4 linked regions of the Rhinolophus ferrumequinum genome follow. The protein of the gene in region 1 interacts with the protein of each later gene in a pairwise test. Links are inferred from orthologs where the notes say so. Each region holds a gene or a part of one and is shown on either strand. Other genes may lie near its edges. The genes, in order: TNIK, DPYSL2, SPTBN1 and PPM1E.

The links.
Region 2: the proteins of TNIK (region 1) and DPYSL2 interact in a two-hybrid assay, tested with the Homo sapiens proteins (2 studies listed by BioGRID and IntAct). The link is inferred for Rhinolophus ferrumequinum from reciprocal best matches to the Homo sapiens genes TNIK and DPYSL2.
Region 3: the proteins of TNIK (region 1) and SPTBN1 interact in a two-hybrid assay, tested with the Homo sapiens proteins (2 studies listed by BioGRID and IntAct). The link is inferred for Rhinolophus ferrumequinum from reciprocal best matches to the Homo sapiens genes TNIK and SPTBN1.
Region 4: the proteins of TNIK (region 1) and PPM1E interact in a two-hybrid assay, tested with the Homo sapiens proteins (2 studies listed by BioGRID and IntAct). The link is inferred for Rhinolophus ferrumequinum from reciprocal best matches to the Homo sapiens genes TNIK and PPM1E.

The regions. Positions count from the first base shown.
Region 1 is NC_046285.1:71,065,077-71,072,369, forward strand, and holds the start of TNIK (TRAF2 and NCK-interacting protein kinase), read left to right. Parts: upstream 1-4,279; 5' UTR 4,280-4,649; coding exon 4,650-4,706; intron 4,707-7,293. UniProt on the Homo sapiens protein: Serine/threonine kinase that acts as an essential activator of the Wnt signaling pathway. Recruited to promoters of Wnt target genes and required to activate their expression. May act by phosphorylating TCF4/TCF7L2.
Region 2 is NC_046301.1:40,889,266-40,896,746, reverse strand, and holds the start of DPYSL2 (dihydropyrimidinase-related protein 2), read left to right. Parts: upstream 1-4,481; 5' UTR 4,482-4,496; coding exon 4,497-4,850; intron 4,851-7,481. Other genes in the region: PNMA2 (paraneoplastic antigen Ma2), read right to left, coding at 1-348.
Region 3 is NC_046296.1:33,100,145-33,108,128, forward strand, and holds the start of SPTBN1 (spectrin beta chain, non-erythrocytic 1), read right to left. Parts: upstream 3,019-7,984; 5' UTR 2,820-3,018; intron 2,103-2,819; exon of another isoform or gene 2,083-2,102; intron 1-2,082. UniProt on the Homo sapiens protein: Fodrin, which seems to be involved in secretion, interacts with calmodulin in a calcium-dependent manner and is thus candidate for the calcium-dependent movement of the cytoskeleton at the membrane.
Region 4 is NC_046304.1:27,053,213-27,060,413, reverse strand, and holds the start of PPM1E (protein phosphatase 1E), read left to right. Parts: upstream 1-4,195; 5' UTR 4,196-4,358; coding exon 4,359-4,813; intron 4,814-7,201. UniProt on the Homo sapiens protein: Protein phosphatase that inactivates multifunctional CaM kinases such as CAMK4 and CAMK2. Dephosphorylates and inactivates PAK. May play a role in the inhibition of actin fiber stress breakdown and in morphological changes driven by TNK2/CDC42.

The sequences.
Region 1 (7,293 bases):
TCTCCTGCAATCTGGGAGAAAACTGAGCACAATCTTCTAGCTTATTAATTCACCCTTCAGTCTAGCTTGAGTCAATATTGCATGGTGATTAAGAGCCTGAGTTCAAATTCTGGTTCAGCCATTTATTCCTGTGTTGCCTTGAGTAGGTTAATTAACCTTTCTATTCTTCAGTTTACTCATCTGTAAAATAAATATACTAATAATATTGTCTATTTTGTAAGTATAAAGATTAAATACGCTAATACGTGAATACTTGGGAGAGTCTGCAGTATTAGCTATTATTGTTTAATCTTTCTATTCATATAAAAAATTCAATAAATATATTCTTAATTAGTCCTCTAATTGGTTTGCTTTCATAATAATGTGGTTATTTCATGAATGTAAAGTCCTCTATTATCCCTCTGAGGATAATATATTTATATAATATATATATATTATATATATATTAAAACTTCTTTTTGCGCTATTAAAAATAACTTTGGGTGTTTTAATTCATTTGTTGACTGTAGTTAGTGCCTCTCTTTCATAGTAATAGGTTTCCACAAATGATTAGTGTTCTGGGTTATCTACTCATCTTACTGTTTGGAAATCTCATTTGCCTATTTGTGATGTGGATTCTAATTCTGAGTGTTTGCTTTGCTGAATGTGGTTGTTGGGAAGCGGGGCCGGAGAGGACATGGTGCAAGGCAGGGCATGCAGATAGTTTACCTTCTGCTTGTGGGTGTATGTGGTCCCATTTCTCTTAGCACTTGGTGATCAGTTCCTTGGGGTGATACCCTGTCTCCTTGGCCCGAACGCCCATACTCATAGTGGGTGTCAGGGCTGGGGGTGGACACATCCACCTGCTAATTCTCATTACCTTGCTTAATTTTCTTCATTTCACTTACCACCATCTAAAATAATCTTAGTTATCAATTAGTTATAAGTGTATTATCTGACTCTATGAAGGAAAATCTCCAGGGCCTCGTATTGTGTCTTGCACAGAGTAAATGATCCATACAGTTGTTGAATGAATGAAAGAATGAATGGATGCCATTCTTTAATCGTTCTTCATGATGAAAGTACCTGCTCTTTTTAGCCTTTGCCTCTGAGTTTGAAGCTGCCCCAGCTCTCACTCTGGTCCCACCCCATACAGTTTTGGTTTGTATCTCAACTGGCAGTCCAATCCTGCCTGTGTCTTATACGCTAGGAAGTCCTCTGAATTGCTAGACCATGGATGCTGCCTTTTTTGTCTTCTAGAACTCTAATGAATTTTTTAAAATATATTTTCTGTTATATTTAGGAATTTGTGGTGACATAAGATGTACAGTGTGCTTTTAGAAGCTCCACCAGCAGTGTTACTGATTTCCACAATGTTTATTTTAGTTGGATTTGACAATAAACAACATTGAACCTAATACAGAGAACATAACCCCCTTTGGAATTCTCTTTTTTATAAATATTTTTAAAACAAAAATATTTCAAATATACAAAAAGATACAGAGAACAATATAATGAATAGCCATTAGTGTAATGATCCAGATTTAGCAATTCCAAGCATTTAGCAATATTTGCTTGAGATATTTAAAAAAATAAATTAGACATCATTGTTGGAGCTCCTTTGTGCCTTCCCATTTTAGTTTTCTTCTTCCGTTCTTACTATCCTGAAGTTAATCTATATCCTTCCTGCCTGTGTCCATGGTTTTTATAGTTAAGACAGATATAAACAGAATACAAGCCTATGTCCATGCTTTTTATATTTAGATAGATATAAACAGAATATCGTATTGTTCTGCAGGCTTTCAAACTGCATATATATGATAGCAGTTCTTTCAATCTCTCGGATTACACCCAGAAGAAAATCTCACTTTGGTAAAATTTTGAATGACTTTTCTGGCTTTTGTTAACCTCTCTTTTAACAACTACCTAACAGCAGGCCTCAGAATAGAAGCCTGAAGCAGGCCATGATCGCTAAGTAGAATTTAATGATATTGCTTTATTTTCCATTATATTTATTTTAATGGTTCCCTTCTTCTTTTTTTCTTTTTAGCAAGTGTTGCTAGCTTTCCATTTATAGTAGTAACTTATGTTTCCTTTTAAATGTAAAAAAAAATGTTGATTCAAAGAAAATATTAAGCAAATAACAACAGGGCAGGAGGTTTACCAAGCTCTACCTGATCTGATCTGTCTTCCTCAGGCCAGTAACCACTATTACTCCACCTCTAGCACCAGCTGCTTCAAGTTTCCTCCTTTTCTTCCCTTAGCAGCTGGAGGTGCCTTGGCTATTGTACCTCTCCTCTTATGGTATTTCCTGCAGCCAGCACCCCTGCCTCTACCTGACTCTTGTCATCCTCCGGGCTCCTAGGAAGCCCTCTCCCATGTAGTACCAAATGACAGAATATATAGTTTTGTGATCTAACTCTAAATCCAAGGGTAGAATGTAGTGCCGGTATTACGGCATTCTCATGGTCTGAAACAGCATACTAATGCCGAAAGAAATGATCCATTTCTGATGTTTCAAATAAAATCTGGAGTATAAAATGAAGGTTCTCCATGAAAAAAACAAAGTTTATCTCATTTTAAATATGTTCGGAGTTTTAGCAATAGTGCTGTTCATAGATCTCAATACCTGATTTTACTTAATTTTATTCAACACTTGTCATCTAGATTAAGGGTAAAAAAGGCACTTAGATGGGAAAAATAAGGATAATAATAGGAAATGATAGTTTTCTACGTCATTTCGACATTACTCGGTGGCTTACTAAACCGTTATTTACCACCCTGAGCTGGATGATTTTATTAAAAAATAAGAGATCACATAGAGCGTTTTGAATATAACACGTTTAAACGTTTGTCGTTTTAATGGCAAAAGCTCCTAAACAACTCTGTGGCCATTGAGCTGTAATCTTATTCAAGTTTCATGATGCACAGTGCATATAAACACAATAATAACAAAAACAGCACAGCGCCTATCGAATGCTGTTTAAAAGCCTTCTAATGTCTGCAGTCCTGACGAACTAACTGCTTGGGCTTCCATCCATCCATCCATCCATCCATCCATCCATCCATTCATTCAAAAGCCTTATTCTTAAGCTGGTATCTACACGATAAAAAAAATCCTCAATGCATTTGGCCAGAAGTAAATCTTATCTTAACAGAGGTGCAACGGTGATGCTTTCAAAGCTACTGCTGTATTTGAGCAAAAGTTCAATTTTAGCGTTTCTTTCTACGTATGTATTCAGGATGGGCAAGGCTAGGGAGGGCAGTGGCAGGGCTGAGGAAGCGACTTCACACTCTTGATTACTCTTGAATGTCATGTTTACCACTGTAAATGTTCAGCCTTTAAATGAGAAAGCGGGTGGAGTGGGATTGCTCTCTGGTCGCACATCTCGTCTGTTACATCTCATACGCCAGCCAAACTTTCTCCATCAATCTGGGTAGATCAGCCGCGGTAACGTTCCCTGAAAGACAAATGTAGAGTCCTGAGTCGGCGTGCGCTGCCTTACCCAGTGTTGCCTTTGGAGTTACCTGAAGAATTAGAGCTAGTGCACCCAGAGAGCAAGCTTCTCGTTTCAATTCGGTTGTTTCCGTGGGGGAATTGCGGCACGGGCAGGTCCTGGGTGTGGCGGTGCGAAGAGGGAACTCGGACTCCCAGCTTTCCCGCTTCTGGGAAACCTTCCTACCCGAGTGACCCGCCATCCGGGAGCCCGCGGGCCGCTGGCGGACCCCACCTAGCCGCGGGGGCAAATTGCCGAGGCGCGGGGCAGGGCGCACCGTGCGAGCGCGCGTTCTCCCCCATTCGTTCCGCGGCTGGAGGCGGATCCCTTTCCTTGCACACAAGTCCTTATATGCACCGGTTGCACCAGCCTGCGTTACTCCAGCCCCACAAATAATTAATGGGGGAGGGAGGGCGTCGCTCTTTTTTTTCCCTGGATTTTTTCAGCGCTACAGCATTTGAACCCTGCCGAGAAACCGCCAGATGCGATTAAATGGCCATATTGCTGCAGCGCACGAATTGGACATACAATAATGTGTGTGTTCAAATAGCCCCTTTGCCTCTACGATAAGGACCGCAGGGTTAAGAAACAACTCTTCAAAGCCAGCCCTATTAGTCCACAAAAGCCTGGGAGGAAAGGGTGCCCGCCCCTCCCCCGTCCACTCTGGTGCAGAGGGAACGGGTCAGGAAGCGCGGCCTCTCCCCAGTCGGAGGCCACGCCTCCTCCGCCTCTTTCTCCCCTTTACTCCTCCCAGGAAGCGATGATAGACAGTTCTGTGTGGTTCTCCACCCCCACCCCCCAGCTGAGTGGAGGAGTTGATGTGTCTCATTATAACAGCCAATGCAGCCGCCATCCACGCACAAGCAAAGAAGCATGTCCCATTTAAATACACCCACGCAGCCCCAGCGCCTTTAGCCGATCAGGGCGCGCAGCCCACACGCACCGCTGCTCCGGGGTTGGAGATCAGCGCAGGTTGGGCTCCTGGACCGGGCGGACCCAGGCGCCGAGGATCAGGATCCGGCGCAGTGGAGCCCGGGCGGGCGGGGGAGGCTGGGCCCAGGGGCCTCTGGCGCGACACCCGCATGAGGACGCGAGTGAAATAGACCAAGGTGGAATTTCCAAGGGAAAAGCTTCGGGGTGGTTTTGGTCCATTTCTCTGGCGAAGAAGTAGACATGGCGAGCGACTCTCCGGCTCGCAGCCTGGATGAAATCGATCTCTCGGCTCTGAGGGTGAGTGTAGAACGTTTTCTGATTTCTTTCTCGTGGTTTGGGTCAGGGTGAATGGGATCGGAGCGTCGACTGGGGCTGGTAGGCAGAGGCGGGCGAATGCGACGCGGAGGGAACCTGGGTTCTCGTTTGGATTTGGGGGCTGCTGAGGTGCTTTCTCCGAAGCCCCTAGAGCAGGGGCTGTACGGTACGTGTCCACTGGTTGTGGCCGAAAAACCCCCAGGAGCGTGTGGAGCTTATGCCAGTTTCATCTTAGACCCTTGTAAGCGCATTAAAATGAAAGGCTCGTGTGTGTGTGTGTGTGTGTGTGTGTGTGTGTGTGTGTGAGTATGTGTGTGCGCGCACAAGCCCGGGGCAGTCGTCTCGTGCCAAGGCGCGAGACCTGATTCTTTCTGCAAAAAGAATAACAGCGTGAATAAAGGTACTGGCCCCTCACGTTTTACAGTTACCTGTAAGATGACATTATGAGCCTGGTGGTTCCCACGGAGTGGTCCCTGCTTCTCCGAAGGGGCAGCTGTTTCTATGCTGGTCTTGTAGATGGCAACGGCCCCTCTTCCCCCCTTTTCTGCCTTCCGCGCCCCGACTCCCTCTCAGCGCTCTCTTAATGGCCAGTCTGCCACTCACCTTTATTTATGGTTTAAACTGAGCCCAGCCTGTGCTTTCTGATTTTGTGGCTGTGACATTTCAGTTTTATGGCGAACTTAAGCAGGTGAAAGGGATGTGTTCTCTGCTGTTCCCCAATCAGACCGGAACTCCCGAGTGTGTGTGTGTGTGTGTGCGTGTGTGTGTGTGTTTTCCCTGTCTGTGGCCAGTCCTTTGTAGAGCACCTCCCAACCCTCAGCCCCACCGGCTTGCGTTTACCTTCACGTGAATTGCCTCAGACACCGTTTCATTGTATTGACTAAGACATCACTGGTATAGAATCCATTTTGCTGTTGTTTTGAGACCAGAATCCCAGGAATCCCAGTGCAGCCTCGACGCCTCCCCACCCCCACCCCCCAATCTCAACACTCTCCTTCGGGGAAGGGGGCAGAGCTTTCTTGCCATTTTAATTGGATGCTGCCTGCCGGGAAGGGGATGAGGGGTGGGGGTGGCCACAGCAGCAGGGGTCTTAGAAGGAGTAGATTCCAATTTACAGCCGGCTTCTTCCACTCCTGAACCAAAAATAAAATTTTAAAAAAGCAACTGTATATACAGGAGACATGGAGGGTGGATGAGACCGAATTGATGGTGGCTCTCAAGGCAGGGACGTGCAGGACGGCTGAAGCTTGGAAGTTCACGTTCTATCCTGAGGAGTACATTGTTAGACTGTACTGCATCTTGGGGTTATATCCCTGAATCTCCACTACTTCTCTGGATACTGCCTCCTTCTCCACTGTTATTTTCAAGAGCTATCTTTATGGTCAAAGTGTCACTTTTTCTTTAGTGTCATTAATCCTCTTTCCCTACCTAGCTCTCTCTTTTTTAACTCCTCCTCGCCTTCTCTTGAATCGTTGCATCCAAAAGGTGAGGTTTCTGCAAGGCAGTCAAGGGGTTGAGAAGGAACAGAGATGCCATTTGTAACTGGCGTTTTTGATAGCTGGGCAGCAAAAGCTCATTCATGCATCATTACAGTAAGCTGCCTATTTTACTGCCTTTGAAATGCCACATGCAGAATCCCATGCCCCCTGGGCAGCTGGGGGTGGGGGTTGGTAACAGGGTGGATGCTCTGGCTGAGTCTGTCGCTTCCTTTACAGACTGTGTGTGTATTCATTTGCCCTACTTTCTGCACTGGGAGTTGGTGCCAGCCAGTTAATCAGGTGGATGGATGGTCCAGACTTCAGAGTGGGGGAAAGTGGCAAAGGCTGGGGAAGGCATCTGAACAATGGGCGAAACGTGTGAATTTCCTGAGTCAGAATCTTGACATCGCTCCTGTAATGGAAAGCACTCTGAATTTAAGTTGGGCTTGGTCAGAGGTGTCTCTCGTGGTTTTTCTTGGGGAAGGGTTTTTGAGATACTGAGCACAGAGCCTGCAGGGCTTGTGGGCAACCCTGAGCGCTCGCCAGCAGCTCTGGAGGCAGTTCACACATGGGAGACCTGCACTCCTGAGATCTATATTTTGAAAAAATATCTTTGCAAGATTCACTGAAATTTGTGAATTGGGCTGAGTGCTCTGCCTCTGTATTTGTGCCTGCAGGAGGTATGGAAAGAGGGAGGGAGGGCTAAGGCTAGCCCAGGAGACTGGAGAACAGGCTGCCTGCTGCCTAGAGGACTTACATGCAGATGTGGAGACAGTGGGAGGGCTGGGGTCTGCCACCAGTCTTGTGGTAGGTGAGGTGTGTCGGCCAGGAGTGGGTCCAAAGACCATATAGGTAATTTTCACAAATCAGAGGACAGATCATCTGTCTCTGTCTTCCCCAATTAGAAGTGGGTTCATTGAGATGAGAGGTTTCATGTGTTCCTAAACCCTCAGCCTGCCTGCTGAGAACCTTTTGGGAATGCCTGACCCCTGAAATGCAGCCAAGGTCAGTGGCTTCTAGGAGAATTTGCTGCAGCCTTACCAGTCCCTTGCTGTTTCAGTGGCTCTTTAATGTACACAATCAATGCTCTT
Region 2 (7,481 bases), on another chromosome or scaffold:
TGTCTGCCCCTCTTTTTCTAGGAAGAGGTTCAGTCTTTCAAGAAATTCAGTGTCCTGGTTCGGGGTTTTAAAGACCACTTTCCAAGTGCCCCCCTTCCCCTGAACCTCACTGGGGATCACTGAGACATCAATGTCCTCTATGAGCTCTAACAAGACAGCATTTGCGTTCTCTTGCTTCCTGAATATTTTGCCGAGCAGCCTATACCTGCCCAGAGACTTTAAAGTCTCCTGGAGAACCTCCTGAATCTCCGTCTCATCACATCCCACCGGAATACCCATCACCATCAATGATTTCCGATCATCCACACTCATTATCCGGCACCAGTCCTCCAACAGTGCCAGTGCCATCTTCACGAGTATGTATTTGCTCTAACTCTACGGATACCAATTAGTTTGTGGTGTAGGTAGGCACTGCCTTAGGATTTAAAGTATCCTTTAAATGGGCTCCTGAACCTTGAACCCACCAGTGAATGGGTCCAGGAGAGGTCACTCTAATATCAGTCTCAAAGTCTTCTGGACGGACCAGTAAAACCCTTACTTGTCCAGTGGCAAGCACTCAGCACTTCCAGTTATGTCTCTAGAACAGACCCAAGGTGTGTGGTTAGTGTCTCAGTTATGACAGCGCCACTGTCTGTGGCTCTGCAGTCCCGTGGGTGCTGTTTCTCTCCTGGATGCCAGCAGCCACGTGGTGGTGTTGACCCTCTCTGACCAGCGGAGAAAGGCGAGAACTGCTTTCACACTCTCCGGGTTTCTGCCGCCTCACCTCTCTCTAGTCAGTGGGGAAACGCCTCTGCCCTGGCACCCAGAACTCCTGGAGAGAAGTCTCACAGCAGAGTGGCTTGGACTCCTAGTGAAACAACGGTCAGTTACCACACAGCCCTCTCCTTCCCAGGAAGCATCCACACTCTAGTTACAGATGGAAGTGAAGATAGACGAAGGTTCTGCCTTACGTGGTATTTGTGCTGTCCCACTCTGTCAGATCTCTTCTTTGCTCCTAGTGATTTTTTTTCCCCTCTTGGGGACCCTCCTGCCATCTGGCTTCCCCACAATATACTCATCAGACACACCAATTAATGTCTGAGCCCACTTATGGCCAGGATTCAAGATCTTTCCCACGGGAAGAATGATATGAGGAGATGTGGCTGGATACCTGTTTATGTGTTCCAATGTTCCATGAGAGTCGATGATCTGATTTATTCAGCTTCTACTATATGAAGATGTCACCCAACTCCATACAATGGCGTGTCTGCATCCTTCTTAGCTCTGGCCAAGTCAAGCTGCCCTGTTGCACATAAATAATAATGGTGTATTTTTATAGTTTGATAATATCCAATGATGAAGACTGTCAGCGAGTTTATTAAAAAATATGACTATCCTTCACAATTCAATCTACTAAACAATATAGTTGCTTCAGTTCTTTGATGAAAAAAGTCCAATTAGAAATCACTCGAATACTTAAAACCAATTAATGTCAGTATAACAATACAACTTATATAATATACTTTAATATAATATAATAATATAGGTATAAGAATTTAATATACATTTAATAATTTTTGAAAATCTCAGGGCCAAATAAGTTAAACTTGGATTATGAATCATGCTCTTTTGTTATGTCTGGTCAGGCTAGGCAAATGCACAAATAGGTGTTTCTTTTGCTATGAATGTTAAGTTACTAATAAGACAGTATTGTTGTAGCATTTGAACTTGAATGGATCATTTGAGGAAAAAAGGAAAAGAGAGAGCATATCTACAGAGAGCCAGTGGAGAGTGGGTAATGTAATGTAAAAAGGGAAGCGTTCCTAAAGTCTCCCAGTTCTGTTGTACCGCGTGTGTTAAGCGGCCATGATCATTCTTCCTTAGGCCTGAAACTCTCCATCAAGCCGAGTGAGGTCCATATGCCACAGATGCCAACCTGTAGCCATCGTGGCAGCTATTCCTGCTACAGGCACATTTCCTCAGTCCTTCTGGAAGGTGCTGGCGGCATGGAGTGTGCCCGAGGTCCAGAAGGGCAAAATGATGGATAATGCCCTGGCCCAGCAGCCTCATGGATCTGAGCCCAGTGACTTCTCCATGCCTCCCTTTCCCTTTCAATGTGGGGGTGACCTTCCTCTCACGTTGTAGTTTTAGAGGAAACATGAGATGTAAAAAGGCATCAAATGTGCAGGAAGAAACATTTCCAAGGTCTATGGAACAACTACCATGGCTTCTTCCTCCAAATGCAGTCCCTACCTGCAAGGTAACTGTCAAATAAAAAGATGGCAATTGAACCACCAATTTTGATACACAGTAAGTCCACGGAAGGAAATATTTGGATATGGAAAAAATGTAAAAAATTTTGTATTTTCTAACATAAGGATAATTTGGAAAAGGGACCATACTTTCAGGTGGAAGACCCCCACTGGGATTGTTGGATCATTTAATTAGTAACCTTAGGCAAGGCGTCTGAATCTCTCTAAATCTGTTTCCTACCCTGGAAAGTAGTGATGGAAAAGCACTCCTCTCACAGGCTGCCGTAAGTAGGAAATGATGTAATTCGTATGGAAGCACTTTATTCAAATTAGAAGCACATCTGGTGCTGAGTCTGAATGTCCACCTGTGGGTCTCTCAGCTCCCTACACGTGTATCGTTCTCCTTCCTCCTTCTCCCCTTCTCATCAGGAGACTCCTTCCCACCTATCATGGTGGGCTCTTCCTCAAACTGTGACTGGTGGTCCTCCAAATTTAACTCCATTCACCAAACTATCCCTCACATTTGGGTTGAGGGAGAGTATCCACATCGAATCCTAATAAGGGCAAGAGCTGACAATGGGACAGAATCCTTGGTCACACTTTCCGGGGCGGCAAACAGCCTCTTTTAGCCCAAACCCACCCTCGTTACTGAGCATGCCCAGACTTCCCTCTAGAACCACCAAAGGATGGGCATCGTCTTTGCAGGATATTGCCACCGTAGTAAAAGGGGCGGGGCTGTAATCGACCAGGGGCAAAGACTGATACAAGGAAAGTACGTGGGGATGGGAGTGAGCAATGAAGCGCGCTCAGTGACGGTGTTGTTGGCACATATCAAAACGCTCTCTGGATATCCACCAACCAGGTAGCTGCGCCTGGTCTACCCGCACATACACAACCACGTCTCCGCACACCGTTACCCTGCTTGGCCTCATACAATTCAAAGCATTCAGTCACAGCCCCATCTCTTACCTCACACTGGACTTGCGCGGGCACATATGCCCCCACCCCACCGCCCCCGCACGCGGCTCTGGCGCAGTGCGCAACAGGGGCGGGGGTACAGGGGAGGCAGACAAGTAAGGGCTGGAGATTTGGGGAGTGGATTGTAATCTGTGCCTTTCCCTCCCTTTGGAGGGTGGGGGCATAAGATACCAAATCAGAACATTCTCCTGGGCCCTTCGTGGCGCAGTGGCGCAATTACGGTACGTGGCGCCCTCAGGCACCCTCTCTATGTATTAGTTGTGCTGGGCCGGAATTTGCACTGTATTCTTGGCTACACTCGCCAGCACGCAGACCTATGTCTCTTTATACCCCACATCCACCACCATTTGCTCCGCCTCTGCATTTCTCCCTGCCGTGCTGTGCGCCCTCCACAACTGTGGATGCACTGAGCGAGAACCTTCTCGTTTCACTCTCTGCCCCCAACAGCCCTCCAAAGCCCGTAGGTAGACTGAAGCTTTGGTGTCCCGCGCATCGGGACATGGCCCCCACCTCTCCGCACGGCCTGCGCCATTCCCTCCCCATCCTCACTGCGGCCTCTTCCCTTCTCCCCCGGTGTCTTGTCGCCAGCCAGTTTGTTTCCCTTTCCTCATCCATCAGCTCATGCCCGAGGTAAGAGGAGGGAGCCCTCCCCATAAAGGGCCCTAGCCCCCGGTTTACCTCCGCAATGCGGTGGGGGAGAGGCGCCTGGGTCGCGTAGGTAGAAGGGCGCGAGGGCCAGGGGCTGGCTGCGCCCTCGGGTCTTCGCCCAGCGTGCCTATCCCATACTCACCCTGGAGCCGAGAGCTGTTAGCGGGCCCTCCGCTCCCCATCCATTAGCCGGTGGTCTGGCAGCTTCACTTCCGGAGCGCGGGGCTCTGGGCGGTGCAACCCTCCCCCCCTCCCTTGCGCTCAGCTCGGGCCGGAGCTCCCAGCGCCTCGCCCCGCCCCCGCCGCGCCCCGCCTGCACCTCCCTCCGCCTGCAGCTGCCGGGAACCCGCAGGCAGCCTGTCACTCCCGCTGCCGCAGCGGCCGCCCTCCCAGACCCAACTTTGCAGCTCGCCGGAGCTCGCGTGGCGGCGGGGGGCGTGGGCAGGGAGGGGAAAAAGAGGGGTCAGGGGGAGGGACCGGGAGGGAGGGTCGCCCGCTCACCAGCCCTCCTTCCTTTCTGTGCACCTTGCGGTAGGCAGAGAGCGGCAGCCGCTGCAGAGGGTTGTGCACAGAGAGGCAGACTTAGGGATCGTAGACGGACGGGCGGACGCAGAGGACCCTCCCCGAGCCCCCCGCGCCATGGCCGAGAGGAAGCAATCCGGGAAGGCGGCAGAGGACGAAGAGGTCCCTGCCTTTTTTAAAAACCTGGGTTCAGGCAGCCCCAAGCCCCGGCAGAAATTCTGTGGCATGTTTTGCCCGGTAGAAGGGTCCTCGGAGAACAAGACCATCGACTTCGACTCACTGTCGGTGGGCCGGGGCTCGGGGCAGGTGGTGGCTCAGCAACGGGACGTCGCCCACTTGGGTCCCGACCCGCAGCCACCGTACTCCCGGCAGGGCCGGCGCGCGGGTGGGGAGCCATCTGTTGAATCCGGCCGGAAGGTGGAGATCCGGCGGGCCTCGGGCAAGGAAGCCCTGCAGAACATCTACGACCAGGTTGGTATTGGGTGGTGGGGGTGTTTGAGAAGGAGGACCCGGCGCAGAGATCGCCCCTCCGTCGCCCCCCTCACAGCTCGGTGGAGAACCGAGCATCCCAGCGTGCCCACCGTCCTGCCCCTCCCCGCATATGTACACGCACCCCACCCAACCCGCCCCTTCTCCGCGAAAGGTATGGAGAGGCGCGGGCTTGACTGTGGCAGCCGTGCGCCCACAAAGGCTGCCCGCGCTTTCCTGGGCCTGATGGGTGGTGATGGTAAAGGTTCGGCCGATCCTCTGCTTGGGGGTCGCAAGGTGGGGGATGGGGATGGGCCGCGGTTCCATTCTTCTTAAATCCTCCCGGGCGCCTTCCGATGGCAACTGTGTCTGGGTGCCCCACCCTTTTTTGGATGCAGCTCTGGGCATGCAGTGGAGGGTTGCATGAAGGCCGGCGGGCTCCCTGGGGGTCAGGAGGGGCGGGGGCTTCGACGGCTGCTCCCCGCCGCGCCCTGCGCGCGCTCTCCTACAGCATCTCCTTCCTTGCCTTCCGCGCTCGCGTCCTGAGCTGGAGGCCAGGACCATGGTCAGCGCCTCCCGGACCGCCCTGGAGAATCTCATCACCCTGACTCCAGTGTGCTGCGTGAGAAGAACCAGGCAGGCGGTGGAGTCCCCCGAAGAAACCCAGACGCTCCTAAATAGCCCATGTGGAGAACAAAGTTCCGCTAAGTATTAAAGCAAGGGCTTCCCAGCGTGCTCCCCCCAACCCGCCCTATGTGGGAGGCGCTTTGGGGATAGGGACCAAGTGGATTATGTTCAAAGAGTGAAAAGAAAAGGGGAAAAAAACCTTCACATTTTGGATCCAGTGTCAAAGATGGATTGGCACCCTCCATACAGTGTTAATGGGGAAACAAAGAGGACCAATTTGGTAAACCTTGATTTTAGAAAATGTTCGTCATCTCTGGCGAATAAGAACAGCGTGCATTTTAAGAGCAGTCGTCTTCTCACACCACAGTTGTTTTTTTTTTTTTTCTTTATCAGGGTGACCTTCATACTTGTGCATTCCCTCTAGCCCCCCCAGAGCCTTAATTCCTCAACTGATAAATTACAGTGTGAACTGTTTCAACATTTGTTTGCTGTTTCTTTCCCAGGCCCATTGGTGAAAATGAGAAATCAGTCAATGATTGATTATTTATTGAATACTTATTGTGTGCCTTGCCTTGTGGGGCAGGGGGAAGTTAGCTATATAGAAAAAGTTCAAGGTGATTTCTTCTTACGGGGCTTTCAGAGTAGTTGGGAGTGGCCTATACATAGTCACTGAGTGATTCCACAAGCATTTATTTGCCGGGGCTTCAGACAATGTGCTTTTAATGAACACATCAGAGAACAACGAAGAGTTGGTGCTCATGGCACAAACATGTTGCTCTTTCCTGATGTGGCATAGAATTTTGCAGCTTTTCACTTTTGTTGGACCAATTCTAGGAAAGGTAAACCATCTGCTGTCATTTTCAAAAGGGGGCAACTAATTACTTAATTCCTTCTCTCCCAGCCCTGTGCTCTGATTTATTCATATGGGGGAGGGGTCACCGGATATCCGCGTTTCACTATCAGTCAACCAGAAGAACTTAATCCAGAAAACTTACTTTGTACCAAGTGATCAGACAGCTGAAGTAAAAGCTTCTAGTAATGTAACTTAAAACGAAAGCTGGGTGAGTGTGAAATGCTTTCCTACGTGAATACACTAGGTGAGGGCCAAACCATGATCATTATAGCAGGAACAGCAGAACCTCTAGTGCCACTCACACGTTTGTGTGAGTGTCCTCCTCTTAAACAAGTTGTGCTGGTAATTCTAATGTCCTAAAGGGCGCAGAGAAATGCCTCACGATAAGGAAGAGATCATTTTTAAAAATGGCCGCTCAAGGGGTGCTGGTTGACAGTGGTCTTCTTGATAATGATGGCAGTGAATTAAAACTCAGATTTGAAAGGCAAAGTTTCACTGGGTTGAATAACACGTCTCTTTTTCTATGCATTTAGAAGTTCCAATATTTGATCATCAGAGTTACTTGTTTGAACACTTTCTAAATTTAATAGGAACGATAAACCTAGAGCACATGGAGAGGGAGATTTGAAGAGGAAACCAAACCCTAGGCAGTTTTAGCCTCTGGAAACCCAAAGTTGCTTCAGTTGCCTGGTTATTAGTTGCAGAGGGTGATTCTGGCTTGGTCTTTCTGCTGCCTTCCCTGAATTTTCATTTTCAATCTTGCCTTATCATGTAAGGGCTGTTCCTTTGGGATTTGTTTCATTCATGACTAAGAGTATTTACCAGGATCAGTACTTAACAGTGTTTGAATATTTCATGACTATTCAAGACACAAAAGCCATTTGTGTGTGTGTGTGTGTGTGTGTGTGTGTGTGTGTAACAATGGTGATTTCCAAAAGTACAGTTGGGCCCACCATTTTGACTGAATCAGGTAGCCATTACTTACCGTGTTTCCCCGAAAATAAGACCTAGCTGGGCAATCAGCTCTAATGCTTCCTTTGGAGCAAAAATCAATATAAGACCCGGTCTTATATTATATTATGTTAGATTAGACCTAGTCTTATAGTAAAATATTATATAATAATATATACAATATTATATAGTAAAATATATTA
Region 3 (7,984 bases), on another chromosome or scaffold:
TTGCTCCTGCAACATCACAGACATTTGTTACTAGGTATTCTCGCCCAAGAGACCGCTTCAGAAACCCTGCACAACAGAGAAGACCTAGTGACCACAGTTTCTTCAGTGCCCCAATACTTCTCCTACTTTCAGATGAAGGTTTAGGTCAGTCCAGAGAGAACAGTTACAAAGAGCTTACTTAACCTAACAGAATTCTGCACCTGGTGTGTAAGTCAGAACAGCTAAACCTCCTGTGACATCAACACAGGATATTTTCTTACAACACAGTAAATCCAAAATGTCTGAATAATCATGGGAACAATACTCCCAAACATCTTTATGCAACACGATTTTATACAAGCAGACACCGATGAAGCCAAAATCCAAAAAGTTCTGTATTTTTAATGGCCTTCTTTTAAGAGAAACTCAAAATAATGCACATAAACCACACAATCTGCATTCAGTTCTACTCTGCAGAGCCACGTGAAATCAAATGCCACCAACTTGAATTCATGAGAGATTTAAAAAATAAAAGTAGACACACCCTTGCTTTGAAATACTGACCTTCTCTTCCGGTTAGTTAGCATACTGAAATTCCCTTTTTCCCTTAAACATTTTAGAAGAATCTGGGTGACATTTGAAATGTATTCCATTTGCCATCCCACAATGAATAAATGAATTGTAGAAGTGGCATTTAGATGGGAAATTCCCTGTGTATTAGCCCAGACTAAACAGATGAGAACACTGGCAACCGTCTCCTTCTGACCAGATACCAGCCACACAGGCCTCGGTGGTCTGCACTTCTCAACTCCCTCCCCAACGACATCTGCAAAAAATATGTATAAAAATACATATAAACAAACACAAATGAAGTCAGTTACCATCACAATCCCATTAGTCACAACGAACTTGGCTATCTAAATCGATAAAAATCTGAGTAACAATTCACTCATTTATCTAATAATCCCTAATAAAGCATCCAAATGTGTAATTTGATTTACAGAAAACGCAAACGATGAAAGCAATGCCAATACAGGTTAATCATTTACTACACATCAAAAAATATATTAAGTTCCTTTTAAAAACCTATTCAATGTGAGTATTTTTAGAAATGTCTCAGGGAGACATGAACTAAAACAGTAACCGTTTTATTTCAAAAAATAGTTTTCTCTAGGAAAAATTCATATTCTTATTATTGACCAAAGACAGAGGTACTGCAATGTAATAGTTACGATGCTCCAATAAACACAAACTTTTCATACAGGAAGAAATCGATGGATAATTGGGTTGTAGTCACAAATTATGAGTGATCCACAAAAAACCGCTGCGACTCCCAATGCTGACTGCACCAGCGCCTCCGCACACCGCTGGGCCGCGCGTCCTCCCTGCAGCCCCTCCCTACAGCTCAGGTCCCTTAGTCCGAGATCAGATTCCGATCCGCAGCCGCAGGCCAGCTCCCTCTACCCGCATTAGCGCCGCAGGAAGCCCCTTCATCGGATACAGCCCAAAAGGCGGGGCGGGAGGGGGTCACCCCAAAAAGAAGAGTCCACCCTCACAGCTAGGTGACCTGGTCCTCCTGACACCACATCCCGCTGAAACAGCAAGACAAGGTAGATGCTGTTCCCAGCCTCTGCCAAGGGCAACCCCGGGCCTGGGTGGGGCCGGGTGGGGGCCGCAGGCGCCCAGTGGCCGTGCCAAGCCCCGCCAGCGAGAACCCGGGGAGGCTGCGATACTGCTGCATTGTGCTGCATCACGGCGAGGGCACCGTGAGCCATCCATCTTGCCAAAAAAGCACATCCCCACCCAAACAAACCCACCGAATCCATTTTCTCCTCCTCGGCAGCGCCCTACACTTGCCTTCTCCTCACTTACTATGTGGCCTGGCTTTTGATTGGAAAAATAATGGACACGGTTTGTGTACCGATCCCTGCAACACTTCCCCACCCCATCTGATAGCATTTGGCATCTTTCCTATCACAAAAACAAAGGGAAGGCTCCCCTCAAAAAGAGGGCCGCGGGCGTGGTGTAAGGGGTGATAAGGAGAGGGGCTTCCAACCCACCACCCCAAAGGCAGGCCGGGAGGGTCTCCGCGCTGGTACAAACCTGTTGAAGAAAGGGTGGCAGGAGCTGAAGGGCGGGCGCAGCGGCGGCTCCGCGCCCGCAGGCGGCTCACGCCCAGCCCTGGGAGAGTGGGTACAGCAGGAGGGCGGGGGGGGGGGAGCGGGCGCGGATCCGCGAGCGGACACTAGGATGGGTGGGAGGGGGCACCGGGCCGCCGCCTCCCGCTCAGCTGCAGCGCGGCGCAGCCGGGACCACGCCTGGCCGCATCTTCCGTACCGTTAAGCGCAGAGCCGGGCCCTGTCAATGCCGCCCCGGCTCCCCCACCAGCCTGACTAGCAGGAGGGCACCCGAAAATATACCCTCGCTGCTGCCCACTGTGCACCCACCCCCGCGCCAGAGGCCGCTGCGCCCAGATGAAGGGACACGGCGGCGAAGATAGGGAGGAGAAATAGGCGCCACTGCGCCGGGGATGGGGCTGGGCGGCCGCGGTGCGCACCGAGGATCTGCGGCCGCCTCACTGCGGCCGCTTCACTGCGGGGCCTGCCGTCCCTGCCCCGCAAAACTCGAGCACTAATAAGCACTGGAGACCCAGGCTCCTGGTGCCGCCCCCGCCCTGGCTCTGCAGCCTCCCCGCCCCCACGCCGCTCCGTGGGGAGCCGGGCAGCGGCGTCCGCCGGACTGGGCCCGCGCCCCTCCTCCCGCCCGCCTGCCGCCCAGGAGCCCGTCCGGGTGGCAGCCCCAGTGAGTTGGCATGTTCCAGCCTCAGGCCCCTCACCTACCTCCCGCGGATAAGGGGTGGGGGCGTCGGGGTCCCGTCCTCCTCCCGCTCCTCGGCGGCCGGGCGGGTGGGCCGGGAGGCGACTCCGCGGGGCTGTCTGCGGCTGGGGCCGGGGCTCACAGGACGGGACCGGTGGGCGCTGCTGCGCGGGGCTGCGCGCTCGCTCCGGGTGGAGAGGCGGCCGAGGGAGGGACTGGAGGAATCCGCAGCCTGCACGGTAACAGCTGCACTGATTCCGGGGGCTGGGCTGGAGCGCGGGGCGGGGGAAGGAGGGGAGGGAGCAGGCAAGGAGGGGGCGAGGGGCGGGGAGAGGGAGCGCGCCGGCGCCGGGAGCGTGCACACGCGCGCGCACAGCTCTCTCCCGCACACCCTCCTTCCTTCCTCGGTTCCTCCCTCTCCCGGGCCCTCAGTGCCTGTCCGGAGCCCCGCAGCCGCCCATCCGGCGCCTGCTCCACGCGCGAGCCGAACCTCGGGCGCGTTCACGCTCTCCCCAGCTGAAGCTCTGCCGGGGCCCAGCGCCGACCTCGTTCCTTGTAGCCGAGACTGGCCAGGGAGAGCCTGGTCACAGTGGGCATCGCCGCTGCCACTACCCAGGCAAAGGGACAATAGGGACTTTGTCCCCACAGCTGGCGAGGGCCAATTTCACGTTTAATTTGAGGCTAATTCGATTATCGCCATGGAAAGGGGCAGCCTAATTATCTACGTGACTTGTGCAGCCGCTTTTCACCCGCGACGTTGCGTTTGGAACGCTACGGAGAGGGTTGAGGGAGGTTTTAGAACGTCGTTTGGTTGGTTTGGTTTCAGATCTAGGTGGTGGTGCCTTGTAGGTTCCACCCAGCCTAATAAAGAGCGATGGTGACCTCTCCGTGGGAAACCTTGGACGATGGGGGGAGGAGGGTTGTTCCTCGGCAAAGTCAAGCTCTTTCTCCTTTGTGAGCTTTTCCACCCTTTCCCTCTGGGTAGCTGGGAACATACACTACAAGTGGTTCGTCCAACTCCTGCCTCTGACCCAAACGCTGGCTCACTTTCACCTGAAGTGGGTGCTCTTCCCGAGACACTGCTCGAGAGTAAGGACGTCCCGGCTGCAGTGAAGGCCCCGCGATGGCTTGAGGACTTGAGTTCTCCCCCTCTCCACATATCCTGAGATGGACACCGGACGTTCGCCCCTTCTCAACCAGCTGGCCAACCCTGTCAATCCCCCAGGCTATGTAGAAATTATGGAACCAGCACTTTTGAGAGGAAAAAACGGTGCATCACTATGACCAAGACTAGAAACTCTAGAAAGCAATCTGGAGAAACTGATTTTCTGCCTGCTCTGTAGGTGCCCAACGGTGCCCACTGTAAGCTTCTGTGGAAGAGGCCCTTCTTGGTTGCAAAAGCCCCAAGGCTTTTCCCCTAAAGACCTAACCCTCAACCCCTGAATAAAAAAGAGAAATAAAAGACAGACAAATAGTTTGGATCATGCTTATATCTCGCATCAATAGAACTGAAGCTTGATGCGTTTATATTTTTGTATGTATTTTTAAATTAATATTTTTAAATAAAACTAAATGAAATTGTCCCCAGCAATTCATGAAGATGATTCTTCCTTTTAGGCCTTCACCATCAGTTTGAATGTTTGTACAATGTTTACATTTGAGATATAGATATATAAATAATTGAGGAAGGCAAATAATTTAACATTTTTCTCAGAAGGTTATTAACACAGCTGAAAGGTGAGCTCTCCAAGAGCAGGGTTCTGTGTTCACTGTACATAGCAGGCACTTCAGAGGTGCTCAAAAATTTTTTGTTGAATTGAACAGAATCAACAGGTAAGCGCTGCCCATATTAGGCAACACTGGAAATCCACTAGGAATGAAAGTTGTTTCCCTTTCACTTATTTTGGGCATAGCCCCCAGCACGTCCCCACCCACAATGTTAATGAAATAGCAAAGAGAACAATGGCAGTACTGGGAAATGCCTCAGTTTAAATTCTTCCAATACTATTCTGAAATGGTGACTCTTAACTGCTTCCTTTATCACAGATAACAGTACTTGAATAAATCTCAATTTGGTGGATGAGTCATCTCCCCTCATTCCACTACCACTTACTTTTTAAAAATTTCCTTCAAAAAGTGAGACCACATACAACCTTAGCTAGGTACTCTAGTAAAGAGGCAGTAAGTATTCCAAAAATGTAAAAAACAAGGATTCAGAGTTTCACTATAAGTACCTGCTCACGGTTTCAAATTCTTACCTTTCGGTGGAAAAAAATCATCACCCAGGAAAGCACAGTGTACACTGAACAAAAAGAAAGTAGCAGATCAAAGAAAAGACAGTCTAAATCTGGAGAGATTATTGGAGAAGACATATGCTTCTGTGGAAGAGCAGAATCTAGAAAAGACAAAAAGCCTCAGTCGGTAATGATGGTAACAAAAAGGAGTGTTCTCAAATATCTCCAAAGCAGCTTTGCTGAAGTTTATTATCGTCACAATAGAATTAAGGTTGATTTAAAGGAACCTAGAACTCATCGTTAAGAGAGAACTCATTGATAGCATGTCTGTAACACTCTAGTCTCCATTTTTAAAACCATGTGATTGTATATGGCTTTGTCTCCCATAGAAATAGTACTTATTACAACATTTTTGTGGTTATAAAGGACCTTCAAAATTTGTGAACAATAATAATAATCATAAGTAGCAACTATAAAATTCTTTCTAGTTTTTAAAGTCTTTTAGCACATATATCATTTTGTCCTTTTGTCAGTTCTTTGGGGTACATACTAACTCCATTTTATAGATGAGAAAACTGAGACACCAGTACTAAGTGTCTTTACATAGCTACTAAATGTCTGAGATATCTGCATAGAAGCTAGCATATAAGAGCTGTGTGTCTGGACATTGTATGTTAATAATTAAAAAGTAATTCTGTTTACAAGATGAGAAAAGTTCTGGAGGTGGATGGTGGGGATGGTTGCACAACAATGTGAATGTACTTAATGCTATTAAACTGTACACTTAAAATAATTAAAATGGTGAATTTTATGCTATGTATATATCACGACGTTTAAAAAAATTCTTTTCAAGTAATTCTGAATTTAGACTCCTAGAATAGTAGAGCAGATGCACTCTTAATGCTCCTTCATTTAACCCATTTGTTGGATTACACTGTTCACTCTGTGTGGTAAGCATATTGACCAATGTCCATGGACACAAAACACACTCTGCTAGTCGGCTGCAACTGTATATTTCAGCTCCCTCCAGTTGTGCTGTGTATTTACCAAGTCAGTTTTGTTTGTTCCCAAATTTGTTTATGCTAGTTATGCTTATTATACTTAATAAGTACACTTATTATAATTAAATATTACATGAACCAATTAAATATGAGTGTGAAAAGAGAGCTCTTTAGTGAAAACTAAGTTGCTTATTTTTGAATTGTCTGATAAAGGCTAAAAATACTGCCATCAAAATATATGTGGTCAAGATAACAATAAAAAAGTAGGGAGGGATAGATATCATAAAAACCTTAAAATATTCAGTTCAGGATGCTTTGCAAGTGTCCCTAAGTTCTAAATCAACTTAAAAGAAAACAAAAATGTGTATCAGCTTTGGCTTATGCAAAAAAGAAGTGGACTTTCAGTAAACATATATAAACACTTTATCAACCAATTAGCAGGTGAATGTAAATTTCAAGTAAAATAAAACATCTAAGTATGTCTTTTTCCAGATATAAACCTATCATTTTGTTTTCTTTTGAAATGTGCTTCAAAAGTTAGGCAATGAATTGATAGATATGACACCAAAAGCATGACAACAACAACAACAACAAAAATAGACAAACTGGACGCCATCAAAATTTAAAACTTTTGTGTATCAAAGGACATTATCAAGAAAGTGAAAAGACAACAGAATAGGAGAAAATATTTGCAAATCATACATCTAATAAGGGTCTAATATTCAGAATACATAAAGAACTCTTACAACTCAACAAAAATGGAGTTGAATAGAATTTTCTCCAAAGAGGATATACAAATGGACAACAAGCCCATAAAAATATGTTCAATATCACTAGTCTTTAGGGAAATGCAAATCAAAACCACTGTGAGATACCACTTTATACCCACTAGGATAGGTTCAATTTTTTTTTTAAATGGAAGAGATCAGATGGGCGGTGGGGTAGGGATTTGGATAAAGGTGGTCAAAAGGTACAGATTTCCAGTTACAAGATACATAAATCCTAGGGATGTAATGTACAACATGATGACAATAGTTAGCACTTCTGTAAGATATATATGAAAGATGTTAAGAGTAAATCCCGAGTTCTCATCACAAGGAAAAAAAAGCTTTTTTCTTTTTCTTTTGTATTTATATGCTATGATGGGTATTGATTAAACTTACTGCATTAATCATTTCACAATATACACAAGTCAAATAATTATGCTGTACACCTTACATTTATACACTGCTCTATGTCAATTATAGCTCAGTAAACCTAGGGAGAATACAGAAAATAACAAGTATCGGGTAGAATGTGGAGGAATTTGAAGGCTCATACTTGCTGGTGGGAATGTAAAGTGGTGCAGCTGCTATGGAAAATAGTTTGGCAGTTCCTCAAAAAGTTAAACATAGAATTATCATATGAGCCAGCAATTCCACTCATAGCTATATGCCCAAAGGAATTGATACAGGTACTCAAACACTTGTACATGAATGTTCGTAGTAGGACAATTCACAATAGCCAAAAGGTGGAAACAACTCAGATATCCATCAATGGATAAATTGATAACCAAAATGTGGTATATCCATATAATGGAACACTATTCAGCCATAAAAGGAATTAAGCACTGATACATACTGTAGTATATCAGTTCATTGTATACTTATTGTAGTATACTTAGCGTATGTACACTTAACATAATGAAAAAAGCCAGACACAAAAGGTCACATATTGTAAAATTCTGTTTAAATGAAATATCCAGAATAGGTAAATCCATAGAGATAGAAAACATATTGGTGGTTCCCAGGGGTTGAAGGAAGGGGCAGGAAAGAGGATTAATTTTACCTAATTTTAATTAATTTAAATTTAAATTAAAAATTTGATTCTATGTTCAGTTATTAGAAAACTTTTAAGTATGTTTGGAACAACTTGGGTATTTGAATCTACTTATTTTAACTGTGAATTTTATTA
Region 4 (7,201 bases), on another chromosome or scaffold:
CAGGCAATTGGTTGCACAAGTGATAGAAGAGCTAAAAAAGCCAAAAGGGAAGGTAAATCAGTGTCTTAGTTCATTTGGGTTGTTATAAGAAAAATACCATAGACTGGTTGGCTTACAAATAACAGAAATTTATTTCTCACAGTTTTGGAGGCTTGGAGGTTGAAGATTTGGGCTCTGGCTAATTCAGTGTCTGGTTGACAGATGGCTATCTTTTTACTATGTCCTCACATAGCAGAAGTGGAAAAGGTCTCTTTTGGACCTTTTATTATTATTATTATTATTATTATTATTATTATTATTATTGGGGAATATTGGGGAACAGTGTGTTTCTCCAGGGCCCATCAGCTCCAAGTAGTTGTCCTTCGATCTAGTTGGGGAGGGCTCAGCTCAGCTCCAAGTTCAGTCGCCATTTTCAATCTTTAGTTGCAGGGGGTGCATGCAGCCCACCATCCCATGTGGGAATTGAACGCCCAACCTTGTTGAGAGTTCGCGCTCTAACCAACTGAGCCATCCAGCCACCCCTGGACCTTTTCTTTTTTTTTTAAAGGCACTAAATCCCATTCATGAGGGTTCCACCCTCATGACTTAATCACCTCCCAAGAGCCCCAGCTTCTAATACCATCACCTTGGGGGTTAGGATTTCGACATATGAATCTTTGGAGAACACAAATACTCAGTCTATAGCAGTCAAGAGTAGGAAGCTAGAAGCCATTACCATCTCTAGGCTGATGGACAAATGGAAGAAGGTGATGTTTCTAGAGCTCAGGGGCTGGTGTCATAGGCAAAAGCTGGAATCCCAGTGGATGTGATTGGGGGAGCAAAGCTACAAAGGAAATGCAGCAGGCATTAGGACTGGTAGGATAGGGAAGAAATATCCTGGCTTTTCTCCTTTCCTCTCAGTTTCCAGTTTCTTGCCAATGCCTCCCACTGGGCAAATCTCAGCTGAAAGTCAGCTGTCAAGGAACAGTAGTGAATACAGCCTGAAAGGGTCGGCTCTCCCCAAATATAGAGCAGAACAAGGGAGGAAAAGAAATGGATGTGAAAGCAAAAAGGACAAGGAGTAACACAATAATCATTTATTTCTAACTTTGAAAATCAACTTTATTGAGGTATAATTTACATATGATATACTTACTTAAAATGTACTTTGATAATTTTTGACAAGTGAATACACCTATATAACCACCCAGTCAAGATGTAGAATATTTTAATCACCCCACAAAGATCCCTCTTACTCCTTTGCCATGAATCCCCCAGCCCACCTCATGCCCACTCCCAAGCAACATTAATCTGCTTTCTGTCACTATAGGTTAGCTTTGCCTGTCCTAGAATTTCACATAAATGGGATCATAGAGTATACACTTTTTTGTGCCTGGATTTCCCCCCCTCAGTATGTTTCTGAGATTCATCCATGTTGTTGTGTTTATCAGTAGTTCATTTCTTTTTATTGTTGAGTAGTATTCCATTGTATGAATACACCACAATTTGTTTATCCATTTACGTATTGATGACATCTGGGTTATTTCCAAGTTTATGAATAAAACTACTGCAAACATTATGTACAAAGATTTTTGTGGTGTGTGTGTATGTGTTTGGTGGACATGTTTTCATTTCTTGTGGGTAAATATTTGGGAGAGGAATTGCTGGGTCATATGATAAGAAACTGCCAAACTCAGCAATTCTTTATAACCTTATAAATATCATTACCGTAAATGTCCGCGAAAAGACATTGTGCATTTCCTCCAAAGAGCTAAGGATTAGAGGGAGAACAATTTTTATGAGAAAAAAATTCTTTACAATCTCAAAAATATTTAAATACCCTCGATAACATATACTTTTCATAGCTTAATATTTTTTAATAACTAGTAAAAAAGGGGATTGGGGAAGTGTAAGAGGAGAGGAACTGAAAAAGTAAAGCAATGCAAAATAATGACTGAAAAGATTTCTTGACAATGGCAAAGTCATCCTACACAGCTGCTCTGAGATCCCAGCACTGCTGTCAGCAACCTTCTGGCAAAGCTACTCTGTCAAATGGATGCACTAGAATCCATACTGATCTTTTGTGAAGGAATATCTTCATTAATATAAGCAAACATGTCTCTCATTTATAGAAATATAGAGGTGTGGGCTTTTTCTTTTACTCTTAGTAGTAATGTTTCCCCAACACATAACAGTTCCCTTTGATATGTGGGTTGAGTCATAAATTAATGTCACAAATAAATGTCACCTAGATGAGGAAGGCAACTACATTAACAAAGTAGGAAGGTGTAGCTTGATATGAATTGTTACAGTTGACAGCTATGTACTCTTGAACTAAGTGTTATCTTTTCTAATTCTGAGATGTTAAATAGTTGTTAGAATGTTAACCTGGACATTTAGGTGTACAGTCTTAAAAGTTTTGTCAGTCTTTTCTAGATATTCTGAAATGGAAATGAACAGGTGGATTGAAAACAAAGATAAATGAGGAGTTTAAAGACTTTCTTGGCAGGAGGTGAAAGACTTTCTTGGCATCTCAGAGAAGTTGCTCTACACTGGTGATATTTTAAACAAAACACAAATACATTTAGCTTGTGTAGAAACAGACTTATTTACGGAGTCTTTCCATTTACCTTTGAGACAAAAATAAATAGTTATAGGGGACTCATGCATTACTCACTCTACATTTTCTATCATGTATTATTTAATCTCAAGCTGGGAGAGAGAATGGACCTCTATTTTACATGATGCCACAATGTACATTAGTGAGCTCAGCCCACTTAATCTTAAAATAACAGTATCAGGTCAGGGATTTAGAACACAGTATTATATGAAAACAGTTGGCAGGGAGACTTCTCCTGCCATTAATAACTGACTAGAAACAGCATTTCAGACCCTAAATCCAACTGAAACCCAGAAACAATAAATGGAGAGGATGGGTTGATAATTTGTGAGTTTTTCAAAGTAGAAAAAGAATCACTATGTTTTTGCTGAATTATATGTTGCCATGGACATGGAAGTATGCAGTAAGGATGCTATCATCTATACAGCTGTATAACAACACAGCTTCTGCCTCTCCCAACCCCCCAGTAGGGCTCGAAAATAATAGGCTTGTGTGTAGTTTGGTAAGAAAATCAGAATAATTTAAAGTCGTTTCAGTTTCAGTCTAAGAAAGAAAGAAAAGAAGCTGGGGGTTGGGGAAGAAGAGCTAACAAAATGTATACATATTATGTAATAAAGTATATGTATTATGCAGAGACTAAAGAGGGGTGTCTTGGTGTGCTGGAAAACTAATGGCTTTGTAGTGAAAAGACCTGGATTTTGTTCGTGTTGCATCACGTGTGTGACCTTGAGCAAAGTCACGATGTCTTTAACGCTCAGTTTCCTCATCTGTAAATTGGAATCATAATGGTAATGTCTTTAACCTTGAGTCACTATTGTAAGGATTAAAGGGGTGAAAAACAACTTGTAAACTAGAAAAGCCTAGAAAACTAAGGCTTTACAGACATTGCACTGTTGAATCTTGAGAGGCAAAGAAAAGGGAAAAAGGCTTTGGAGGCTGACAACCTGGGTTCTGATTCCGATGTCATGGCTAGTAGCTTTGACACCTCCAAGCGAGTAAAGTATTTAAAATCCTGTTTCCTCTTTGTGAGAAATGAGGAAACACCACTTTCTTCGCAGAATCAAATGAGAGAAAGTATGCAAAGAAACCTACCACTTGGTAGGTGTTTGATGCCCTCCCCTGTCCCAAACTATCATACTTATTAAAGGAGTGTCATCAACAACAAAAGGTGTTCACACTGTGGTATCTTTCAACTGATTAAAGGCTCTAAGGGCAAGGCAGGAACAGATAAGGAAGACAAGTAAATCCAATCAAAGTGGGAACCAACAGCTAGACTTGGAGATGTCTTAGTTCACTTTATCCACTTGAGGCTATGGTAGCTATACAATAAAGACATTCAGAGTTGGAGAGCGGGAAGTCTAGCGTCCGTTCGACTACGCGGACTCGACGGGAGGGACCCTGAAATTCTTAATTAGAGCTGGTTGTCATGGCGACAGTCTCTAGGCAGCGTGGGCTGAGCTCTCTGTAGGGCTAGGAGGTGGGCCTCCGCTGGACCCTGAGCGCGCGCCCGCCACCAACTTTCCCTCCAGACCCGAAAGGGGAGGCGCGCTCCGCCCCCGCCCCCGGGTCGCGCACGTCCGCACTCGGCGGCGCGCACGCCTGCGGGAGCCCTCTCCAGGCTACCTAGTGCTGATCGCTCGTGCCGGTGCGGCCGTTAACCGCCCTTGCGGGAGCCCGAGGCTCGAAAGCAGCCCCCTCCGCTTCCTGGGCTTCCCCCCCCCGCCCCAACTTCCCGGTCGGCCCCGGGGCATGAGCAGCGATGGCCGGCTGCATCCCTGAGGAGAAAACTTACCGGCGCTTCCTGGAGCTATTCTTGGGCGAGTTTCGGGGACCCTGCGGCGGCGGCGAGCCGGAGCCGGAACCCGAACCCGAACCCGAATCGGAGCCCGAGCCGGAGCCCGAACTGGTAGCCGCTGAGGCGGCCGAGGCTTCGGTCGAGGAGCCTGAGGAGGAGGCGGTCACGGTAGCCGCCACGGAGGAGGGGGAGCAAGAGCAAGACCCCGACCCCGAGGAGGAGGCGGTGGCGGCAGCGGAGGGCGAGCAGGAGGAAGAGGAGGAGGCGGCGGCAGCCCCGGGGCAGTCGGCCGTGTTGCCGCCGCCGCAGCCCCAGCTGCCGCCGCTACCCCCGCTCCTGCGGCCGCTGTCGGAGCGCATCACCCGCGAGGAGGTGGAGGGCGAGAGCCTGGACCTGTGCCTGCAGCAGCTCTACAAATAGTTAAGTGGCGGGGCTCGGTTGGGGGTGGGCCCGCTGTCCCTGCCGCGTCGGCCCTTCAAACTGCTCTCTATTCCGCTCTTCACCCCCCCACCCCCCCGCCCCACACACACACCCGCGCCTGGCGCCGCTGGAAGCGCCCCCGCTGCTCGGACTGGGGCGGTAGGCTGCGTGCGAGCTGCCCACGCCCGCTTAGGTCCCGGTGCTCCCGCTGGTCCCGGAGCCGCTCCTCCGACCCCTGAGCCCTCCTGCCGGGCCCGGCTCTTTCTTCCAGCTTCATCTCGGCCGCCCACTTCTTGCTCCACTTCACCACACACACCCTTTCTCCTTCGTGCCTCCGAAGGTCCTTTCTTCCAGTCTTGAGAGTTCCCTCTTCTTCCCAGCTCCCTGCCTCTAGGAGGTTTTTCTCCCGCCCGGGTCTGTCTTTTTCTCTGAGCGCCTTGTTTGGCGGCTGGAGACGAGACTCGGTTCTAGGCTGCGCTGCGAGATGCTTCCTGCGTAACCGCGACAACAATGATTGTAATACCCGCCTGGTAGCCGCATGCATGAGGAGAGACTGGAGTAGGTTTTTCTGCCAGGCGCTCAATGTGGAAAGTGAAGAGCTCTTTAGATGGCTTAATCCATGGGCGCCTAGCATCCTAGTTGAAAGATATTTGATAACTCCTAATTGAGGGAAACGGGGAGAACTTGGGAGGGAAGAGTAAGCAAAATTTTACACGCGAGCCCTCAGGTGAAGGACACCTGAAAAAGCCCTAAGTCGTTAAAGTGGAAAAGTCAGGCTGGTTTGATAAAATTGCAATTAGATGCAGTATTTTCAGTCCATTAAGTAGATGGAGTAGGGGAGAGAAAGCAGATGGCTTAGCTACACAGATGAAAAGTCGAAAATAGAAAGGTCAAGGCTTTGCCTTTCATCCCAGTTCTGGTTTTTATGGGCTTGAAATAGAAACGGTTTACAATTGCGTCTCTTGCTAAACGGAATTGTTCTGAAATAATGACAGAGGAGAATACTAACAAGTTTCTGGAAACATTGGTAAACCTGGGAATGAATCTTTTGCCATTCTGCTGATAGTTGTAATGAAAGGTGTTACTCCGGACCTACAAAAGTTTACTACTGCACAATTCACTGCAATTAAATTCAGACTCACTTCTCGGATTTTCTCAGAAGCCTAAATTAAGAGAAGGGCCTGGAAAGGAAATGTTTTGTCTTTATCCAACGTGACCGGGGATCAAATCATTTTCCTGTGAAAGCAGAAGCTTATCAATAGGCAAAAAGCATTTAACATCTGCTGTAGAAGCAGGCTGTAGTGATGTTCCACACTTTATAGGCTATTTAAAATTTAATTTGGAAATACTGTCGATTACCAAAGTAATAATGCTTTTTGGGAAATTTTTTTTAAAAATTGGCATGTAATAGCACCACCCAGAGACAACAGTGTTAACATTTTAGAGTCTTCCTAGTGTTTGTAAATTATCATAGAAATGGGCGTATGCAATGTCATTTTTAAAGACGTTTAAAACTTCCTACTAAAAAGAAAATGGAAATGTTTACCAAAGTGGGAGAATTTATCTCAGCATCAGACTAATTCTATTTTGACAGTTCTTACCTTTACAAACACAGTTGCAGAATTAAACATACGTTTAAACAGAGAAGGTCCATTAAAAAGAGACTCATTAGTTTAGAACAGCCACAAACATTTGCCAGTAAAAGTTTTTTTTAAAAAATGAAACCTATATAAAGATGATGGCAGGTAGACATATGTTTTCCATATGGAAGGAAAGCAAGATTAATTTTGATATGCATAAAACTTGAAAAGGTAAAATGGCTATCTAATTGAGAATAGAAGTTTGGATTTGAAGTAAAACTAGCAAAATTAAAGGTGGAAAATATTTTGCTTTAAATCAGAGATTTCATCATTTATACTGTGTTTTATGCAGGGGCTATTAACCTATTTTTATTCAGATATAAAATGGCTGGCTTGTTCATGTAAAGTAACTTCAAAATTCTTAAACAGATACCCCCACCAAAAAAAAAAAACCCTAAGTGTTAAAAAAAAATACTTTTAATGCTTTTAGTTTTCATTTTGTTATTTATAAAAGGAAATCATATCACTTAGTTACAAGAATCAATATTGGAAGGCACTGTTGGGATAGATCATTTTCTGACCAAGCACTTTATTTTACAGACAAGAAAACTATGGATTCAGATTCAGAAATGACAGATTATGTATAAAAGATTCCAACATTTCTCAATATAAGTTATAATACTCATTTAAAACTACATCTTTTTTCTTATTAAAAAGTAATAAATGTTCACTATAAGAAGTGGAGAAAATTCACATTAGCAAAGAAAAGAAAATAAATACCAACCATCCAGTATTAACTGTACTTTT